Linked DNA regions of Neurospora crassa OR74A. The protein of the gene in region 1 interacts with the protein of each later gene in a pairwise test. Links are inferred from orthologs where the notes say so. Each region holds a gene or a part of one and is shown on either strand. Other genes may lie near its edges.

The links.
Region 2: the proteins of NCU02624 (region 1) and NCU03637 interact in a protein complementation assay, tested with the Saccharomyces cerevisiae proteins (2 studies listed by BioGRID). The link is inferred for Neurospora crassa OR74A from reciprocal best matches to the Saccharomyces cerevisiae genes ERG11 and STE24.

Annotation. Positions count from the first base shown.
Region 1 is NC_026501.1:2,956,399-2,960,882, forward strand, and holds NCU02624 (cytochrome P450 51), read right to left. Parts: upstream 3,092-4,484; 5' UTR 2,824-3,091; coding exon 2,578-2,823; intron 2,506-2,577; coding exon 2,308-2,505; intron 2,246-2,307; coding exon 1,094-2,245; 3' UTR 473-1,093; downstream 1-472. UniProt on the Saccharomyces cerevisiae protein: Sterol 14alpha-demethylase that plays a critical role in the third module of ergosterol biosynthesis pathway, being ergosterol the major sterol component in fungal membranes that participates in a variety of functions.
Region 2 is NC_026505.1:1,910,521-1,914,838, forward strand, and holds NCU03637 (CaaX prenyl protease Ste24), read left to right. Parts: upstream 1-1,677; 5' UTR 1,678-1,865; coding exon 1,866-1,880; intron 1,881-1,954; coding exon 1,955-2,137; intron 2,138-2,195; coding exon 2,196-2,942; intron 2,943-3,003; coding exon 3,004-3,447; 3' UTR 3,448-3,702; downstream 3,703-4,318. Other genes in the region: NCU03635 (60S ribosomal protein L38), read right to left, coding at 27-56; NCU03636 (hypothetical protein), read left to right, coding at 755-806, 864-997, 1,073-1,156; NCU03638 (hypothetical protein), read left to right, coding at 3,992-4,065, 4,148-4,318. UniProt on the Saccharomyces cerevisiae protein: Proteolytically removes the C-terminal three residues of farnesylated A-factor mating pheromone. Also acts to cleave the N-terminal extension of the pheromone. Does not act on Ras.

The DNA.
Region 1 (4,484 bases):
TCGTCAACAAAACCCCAGTCAATGATGTCCAAAAATAAGGTAGCACAACACCACTCAATAGTTCCTTGTCCTTCACAAAGTCTCCAGCAGAATTAATCTCCACGTTTCAGTGCAGTGCAGTGATCTTCCAGCCATACCTCCACCATCCTCCGAGCATCTCTAACAACCATCACCTCCTCGCCGGCCTCATGAGCTGTGTGCTGTGGGCATCAGCAATCCTCGGAACCGTCTTGGCTGCGTTCAAGCATCCTCTATCTTATACTTCCATATCGCTTCGATCCGGCCTTCTATTTTCCACCAGTTGGCTGGGACCGAGTAAACCAGCAAATTCCTCACTACATAAGCTCTTCTCGTAGCAAACCCCCTTCAACTCCCTAGAAGTTATGGCTGTTGATTCGCTTAGGATTTATAACTACGTCAAGCCCCCCTCCCCCCTCCCCCCCCCCCCCTTTTTTTTTTTTTTTTTTTTTTTTTTGGGAAATGCCTAGATCTTAATAGCCCCCATGGACAACCCGCGGCGAGTGAATGAACTACGTACCCATAGCCATTCGGTCAGGCAAAGTTGTGTCATGATCGAGAACAGCATAACGAGTCACCGAAGAGGAAATGCATATTGCTCCTTCATTTCCTTCAACTGTTCACTCATTTCGGTGCAGGACACGTTTGGTGGTTGTCGGACTCGACTCGGATTATTTGACTCACCAACGCGAACTGGTGATGTTGTCCTTTCAGACTTTCGCAGATCTTCTTTTGGCTACTACAACCACACCTCCAACAACAACAACCAACACGTGCATAGAACAATCAAGAATGGATGTACTGTTCTTCGACAGTGAGGCCACCGTGTTCGTTCGTTGGTATTAGGTATTAGTTATAATGCAACTTCCTTTTCTTTCCCCTGAGTCTTCCTCGGGACACTCCTCCCATAAGGTCCATCGAGCTCTATTCTATCCTGTCTCCAAGAACACTCTTTTTCATGATTGATCAATCACGTCATTATATGCCGTAGACCCAGTTCCATAATTATAACAACTAAAACCAAAGAACGCCCATCTAAGCATCCACACCCTTCCTCACCACCACATCAGTGTCTTTACAACTGGCAACCCTCCCTCCTCTCCCAGTAAATCTTCGCCGGCTCAAGGGGCCTCGAGAAAAGCGAAGCGTAGTCGGTACCAATAACCTTATCGCTACCATCCACGTTCCTGAATTTGAAGTTACGAACAATAATAGCAAGGATAGTCTGCAGCTGCACATTGGCGAACTGCTCGCCAATGCAGCGGTGACGACCGGCGCCGAAGGGCAGATAAGGGGAGTTGGCGCCCTTGCTGACGAGACCGTAGCCGTAATCGATTTTCTCATCGTCCTCCTCGCTAGGGACGTTGCGAACAATTGTGGGCGCGAGGGGCGAGTCCTTCTCCCAGCGGTGGGGCTCCCAAAGGTCGGGCTGGGGGAAGTAGGACTCGTCCGTGGCGGAGACACCAGGGGCGGCGAGGAGGACGTGATCGGTCGGAATAACGTACTTGGTACCGGGGACGGGCATGGGCGTCTTGACGGCGCGCATGATGGAATGGATAGGGGCGTGGAGGCGGAGGGTTTCCTTGACAATGGCGGCGTGCAGGGGCAGCTTGGCGAGGTCCTCGTAGGTGAGTGGGGGGAGGTCGGCGCCGAGGTTCTTGACTTGTTCGTTGTAGAGATCCTCCATGATGTCGGGGCGGGAGGCGAGGCGGAGCATGATCCACGAGCTGGTGGAGGACGAAGAATGCTGGCCGGCCATGAGGAGGGCGATCATCATGTGGGCGATCTCGTGGTCGGGAACGGGGACGTCGCCCTTGTAGGTCGAGTTCATCAGGTGCCACATAATGTCCTGGGCGCCAGTCTCGCCGCGAGCGCGACGCTCCTTGATGGTGTCCATGTAGATCTTAGCAACGGTACGCTGGGCGTAGTCGCGACGGTTGTTCCAGGGAAGAGGGGCCCAGTGAAGCATGAAGTTGATGGGAGAGAAACCCATGTCGAGGTCGTGGTATAGGTCGGCAAGCGTCTCGTCGAACTTGTCGCGAATCTCCTTGCCCTGAAGAGCGTGCGAGGCGGTGAAGATGGTGATCTGCGCCATCTTGGGGGGAATATCGACGATGCCGGATTTTCCCTTGAAGTCGGCGGTTCTCTTGAGGTAGCTGGTAACCTCATCGGAGATGATGGGGACATATTGGCGGAAAGCTTCGGTGGTGAGCGCAATTTTCATGAACTTGTGAAAACCGTATGTTAGCACACTCTTTACCACCTCCATATGTTGTTGCCTCTGCTAACCTTCTTCTGCTCCATAAGCTTGGAGTTGGGGCAATCGTAGACGACGTCCTTGCCGAAAACAGGGGTAGTAAGGACGGTGTAAATCTCTTCGGCGTTGACATCGCGAATTTTGCCGTTCAAGATAAAGTCATTGCCCTTGGGGCCGACGTAGACAGTAGTCTTCTTTCCGAGGAGGATGAAGGTGAAGCAATCGCCGTACTGTTCGAGCGCCGAGATCGTTAGCAAGCCAAGTTCGCGCGTAGCCCAACAGGAGGCGGTTGGAGGATTTACCTTTTCCCTGTTCTCCTTGAAGAAACGCGGCGGGTCCATACCATACGTAATGGTGCTGCCGATGAGAGGAAACCAGTGGAAGACGAGAGGCGGCTCATTAGGCTTTTTGAAGAGGAACTGCTGGAGGACGTTGAGGACGACGGCAACAAACAAAAAGGAGGCGATCGCGACACCAATTTGCGACACCGTCCCCAGCTGGGAAAACTGCTGGGACAGCGGTCCCGCAACGACTTGCAGGATGCCCATGGTTGGAGAAGGAGGCGGGGAGAAGGCGTGGAGGGGAACGAAGCCAAAGTCGTGGACGCCGGCAGCAAACAAGCAAGAAAATGAATGTAGCCTGAGGAGGGGGGGTAAAAGGGGAGAAGATGGGCGACGCGACTTGATTTTATAAAGTCGGTCGATGGTTGGCGGTTATCGTAGCCTTTCCCTCTCTGGCTACGACCTATCCTAGCGATAGGCTGATAGGGGAGGGGAGGTCTACCCACCTAGCTAGGGACCAAGGGCAGTGCAGTGGTAGTGTAAAACTGGGGTGACAGCAGCACACTTTCACCAGCTTGGTGAAGCTCAGGGACCACCTCACCTTTCGGGAGCAGCTTTCCCTCCGGGCGAATAGGAGTTGGGCAGTCTGATGTCTCCCAGCCAATCATAAGAGCAGGGGCAACGCATTCGTATTCGGATTTTTGGTTGGACGGTACGTACCCTCTCCAGATCATCCAAACTAACCTATCCTTGCCGCACTGGCAACCTCAGCCCAAGATCATGCCATGGGGGAAATCGCATCTGACGGTTTCCACCATGGAAAGAGACGATTGGAGCTCTTCAGCCATGCTGTTTTGGTCTTGCAAAGGAAATGGGATGCAGACAGGGTAATGTCATGCTTGAATGGAAATCCTAACGTCTTCAGAACGCGGCGAGTACGAAGGAATACATATGAATGCCTGACTGCAGATGCAGGGCAGCGATGAACAGATATGATAATATGCATACTACTTGAATGGCCGCTATCTACATACTTCACCCCTTTCAAACATCTCACCAATTCCCAACTCGCAAGCAAAAGTATCTAACATTCCGTGCTTTGTTGAAAGAAACTTGGTCAAATACTAAAAAAGGGGTCAAGCTGGAGTTCAACGGAGCCATCTCTTGGCATTCGAGGTTGTGCTTTGCCACAGCGGCTACTCCCGCTCTCGTCTCAATCCCGCCCAAGCAAGTCATCTTGCGTCGTCCCTCGCCTTTGCTGACCACCACTATCTTTCTAGCCTATGAAAATATATTAAAAAAGGAACCAAAGAAACACGTGGAGTTCGCTATTGTTATAGTGAGGTAGTGCAATGGCGTCATCAAACGATTACGCAAACGTATTCGAATCCATGGTTTGATAGACTCATGATCGAAAATCTGTTGCTGCCGGTTCGAATATGTATGTATAGAGTAAATATATTTATTTGTTGTCTGAATCAGGTGGCTTGGTATCTTCCAATACTATGAGGCAGGTTTCCAACCGAGCCCTTTGTCACTCTACACAAAACCAACCAAATGCATTGACTTGCTTGGTTCAGACATGCAAGAAAACAGAAAAAAAAAAAAAAAAAAAAAAAAAAAAAAAAAAAAAAATCAATGCTGATTCTGACAGGAAGCCGGGACATGTTCTATCTGACATCGAAAGAAGAAAACCCATACGAAGGAATAGAGAAAAGCTTGAGTGAATGCGTGTTATGTGGTATCATGAGTGCCCTATCCCAAGAATCCCGGAATGATCAATGCTCCCCCCTTCCCCTTTTTTGTTACCCCGAAAATGAAAGTGTAACTCCTGGTTGAACGCCGTCCAAAATGCGAAAAGCTGCAAAGAATAAGCGCTATGACTGGCAAGTTTGTTGTTGTGGTTGTTGTTGGTTGTGGTTGTGGTT
Region 2 (4,318 bases), on another chromosome or scaffold:
CAGCATGACGACGGGCATTTCCGTACCTTCTTGATATCTCCGATTTCCTGAGGCATTTTGGCGACTTGGTGCTGGACTTCCCGTACTTGTGGTGACGACGACAACGGAGTTCAGGAGCGTGGATGAATTTTAGGTACTATGGAAATAATTTTGTGTGGGTTTGGGGCCTGGGCGGTGCGAGTGGCTTGGTGGGGATGCGTGCGGGCAATGGGCCGCTAACGCGATGCACCCTTGTTTCCGCTGTCACTTCCGCCAGATCACACCTGCCGACGTTAGCGCAAGCTCCAAGTGTGGCTGATGCTGCACTTTTGGTAACTGCGTCGACTTTGGGAGATGCAGTGACACAGGGAGCTCGTGTGGCGTCGACTTACCTCAGTCGCAGGCAGTCACCATTAGACCATCTGGAACATCTGACGGGATTGCGCGGCAGTTCGCCTTCAAGCTCGGTCGCATCTGGTCGAGGCCTCGGGAGGACACGATTCCAGTTTGTGTAATCCAGATAGTATATAATCAAAAACTAATCACGCGGTCCTAATTGTAGAGCTTCTTTTGTTCCAAACCAAGTGCCACCTCATCAGACAACTCAGTTAGGGCGTTAACGTTTTGTAGTAGTGCGTCTACCCCTCTTGCCTTACCACCACTTATAACGAAGACAACCCTTTTCCGAACTACTCGATATGCCCACGGCACTAGATAAAGCGTTGAGATCACGAGTGAGTACCTCTTCACAACAACACAACATCCCGAAGCAATCATGCTTGTCGAATCTCTTCTGATAGTTTCCGCGAGCAAGAACGCATTTCTTGGTGAGCTTCTTTTTTAACAGTCGGGCAGTCGACCGAAGCTTGACTAACCCCACATAGCATTCGCCGGCATCGTGACGGGTGTCGCCGCATGGTCTATCTTTGGAGGCGAAGTGTTTCCTCAAGACCAGGCTGACCCAAAGGGCAATCCTGAAGAATGGACTCGCGAGGAGATGCGCAGATGGCTTGCACTGGTGAGTTTTCAAGTTTGTTAGAAGCTGACGCAGAACTCGAAGCTAATGTTGTGAGCTAACTTTGATGATCACCAGCGTAATCTTCATCCACAAGATTCGGACACCCGGGAGCAGTTACTGGAAAGGATCCAAGCGAACTTGAGAATCCCAAGACAGTGAACTGGTCGTGCTGGAGAAATCGGAGGAGCCCTATGATATGTTTATACCCCTTGAAGAATACCTAGCCTGCATTTATCTCTGTTCCATGTTCTTGAGGACATTACTATCTTCATAGCATGCTGCCCGGCGATGGTGTCGTCAGCTGGCTAGAGGACACATGGCTGTTGAATCCTGTTCTCCCATCGTACTTGCATACTCGTGATCCTAACCGCTAAATACAAGATCATAAACCGGAAGCCACACGATATGACTACATACTATAGACATCGGGAAATGCGCCTTGATGACAACAGGAAACACTGTTATGTTCGGAGATCTGTAGGGTGACCCGGCAACATGCGAACAATCCAGCGTTGCGTCCGGGTTCGCGGCGGGGGAACCTCTACGACCGGGCTTATCGATAAGATTTACCGAGCGGGGCGAGCGCAAGGAGAAGTAGCCCGACCCAATCAGCATGTGTAACTTCTAGTGTTGGCGACTGCGCCATACACAGCAGGGTACGTAGCGGTACATGCCTGCAAGGAAGCTCCAAGCGAAACTGGGGCAAGGACAGGTTGTTGTTACTGTTTGTACCTTGCCTGGCATTGTGCTTATAACCAATGCGGCGGACAATCTGACACGGTCTTTTGGCTTTCATTGTTCCAACAAACAAACATTCCATTTGCGCATTCGGCGGAGCCTCTAGTAGACACGCCCTTATTGCGCGACGATGGAGTTCCTTCAGGTACGTTTTGCGAAATCCTTCTCCTCTGACATCCAAGGCGTGCACCGGCTAACATGGCACTCTCAAAACGACAGCGTCTCGCGAGGTTCCTCGACCGGCCTCTCTTTCCCTGGAAGAAGCTGATCATCGGCTTCTCCCTCGCCAACTACTTCATCGAAGGTTTCCTCGGTTATCGTCAGTATCAGGTCCTCAAGAAGACCAAGGTCCCCAAGGTGTTGGAGCATGAGGTGTCCCAGGAGGTCTTTGACAAGAGTCAGGTACGATATCCCCTAGGCTACGGGCCAACCGGCCACCATTCTCTGACACACGATACAGGCATACGGACGCGCCAAGGCAAAGTTCGAGTTCTTCAGCGGTATCTACGGTCAAATCCAAAACATCTTGTTCTATCAGTTCGACGTCCTCCCGAAGCTATGGTCATTCGCCGGCAACCTCCTCGTTCGGTTCGCGCCAGCCAGGTTCTCCGGCGAAATCTCGCAATCTATCGTCTTCGTCCTGTCCTTTGTCGTCATCTCCCAGATTCTCTCGCTACCGACTAGCCTCTACCACACTTTTGTCTTGGAGGAGAAGTTCGGTTTCAACAAGTCGTCTGCCAAGCTTTGGATTACCGACAAGATCAAGTCCCTCTTCTTGACCTTCGTTCTCACGCCTCCGATCCTCGCCGGCTTTTTAGCTATCGTGCAAAAGACTGGAAACCAGTTCTTCTACTATCTCTGGGTTTTCGTCGCTGGTCTCCAGGTTGTCATGATCACCATCTACCCGATTTTCATTCTGCCTCTGTTTAACAAGCTCTCTCCTCTTGAGGAGGGTGAGCTCAAGAGCAGCGTGGAGGATCTCGCCAAGAAGCTCAAGTTCCCCCTCTCCGAGTTGCACGTCATTGATGGCAGCAAGCGCAGTGCCCACAGCAACGCTTATTTCTTCGGCATGCCCTGGAAGAAGCACATTGTCATTTATGATACCCTAATTGAAAAGAGCGAGACCCAGGAAGTTGTTGCCGTTCTTGCACACGAGCTGGGTCACTGGAAGTTGGGTCACACCACTAGTCTCTTTGGCATCTCCCAGGTAAGCTGATGCTGCTTTGTTATCCCGCTGTTTACCACGAATTGTGATTGACAATGCATAGGCCCACTTCTTCGCCATTTTCTCTCTCTTCTCCGTTTTCATCAACAACAACTCCCTTTATGCCGACTTTGGCTTCCACACGGTGCACCCTATCATCGTTGGATTCCTTCTCTTCTCGGACGTCCTTGGCCCTACCGACACCCTCATCAAGCTGGGCATGAATGTTCTCAGCCGCAAGTTCGAGTTCCAGGCTGATGAGTTCGCCAACAAGCTTGGCTACAATGCGGAGCTCGCTCGCTCCTTGATCAAGCTCCAGATCCAGAACCTCAGCACTATGGATGCTGATTGGATGTTCGCCACTTACCACTTCTCGCACCCCATTTTGACCGAGAGACTGAAGGCTCTCAACTGGCAGTCCACTGGAAAGGTTGAGGGCAAGGAGAAGGCCAAGGATGGTGAAGAGAAGATTGATGTTGCTACTGCCACTGGGCGGGATGAGCTCTAAGCCAGTGAAGGATGATGCAAATGAGAAGGTGGATGAGGAATTGATAAATAAGGCTGACATGCGCGGGATCACAAATCAAAGGAAATCAGCACACTCAGCGAAGAGTACCCTACTCTATATTGCTTTTAAATCTTCAATTTTTGATAGACAATCTAGAAAGAATCTGGCTTCCATTACTGAACTGAACAGGACGGAGTTCATCAACCTTGAACCTGGAACTTGTTATGCGGTTCATTACCGAATGCAGACCATATTGTCGAGGTAACACAGATGAAATACTTAACCCTAACCCTTGCTTCCCACAGTAGCAGCTGGCAACCGGGTGCAAAAAGCTCTCCCCGGACCCCGGCCGATCAATCGAACTTTGGACGGAGCCGATCCAGCAACCGCGCCCGCTCGTCGCGAACCACTCTATAGGATCCCCGAAACGCTTTGTGTTCGTCCCGGCGCATTCGGTCTCGCCCGGTCCTGTTCCACCCCCGCAATCCTTTGACGTCGACTACCACCACTACCATCATCGGCGACAACCACATTTGTAGACAAAATGTCCAGGATTTTCTCGTCGGCCCTCCAGGCTGTTTTCAAGCCGAGCGCTTTTCTTCCCAAGACTGCCACTCGGTACGCTGTTCTGCTCTTGCCTTCCCTCCCCACCCGCATGCCAAAACACAAACATAGTAACTGACCACTTCCCTGAATACAGCTCATTCTCCATCCTCCCCTCCCTCCGTCCCGCCACCTTGTCTTCCACCCCCAGTACCATCTTCCGCGCCCCCAACGCCATCACCGCGCCCTCGGCCTCCCCTAGTGCTACTACCGGTATCGACGGCGAAGTTCTCGACCTCCTCTCCGCATCCTCCCTTATTTCAAGTCA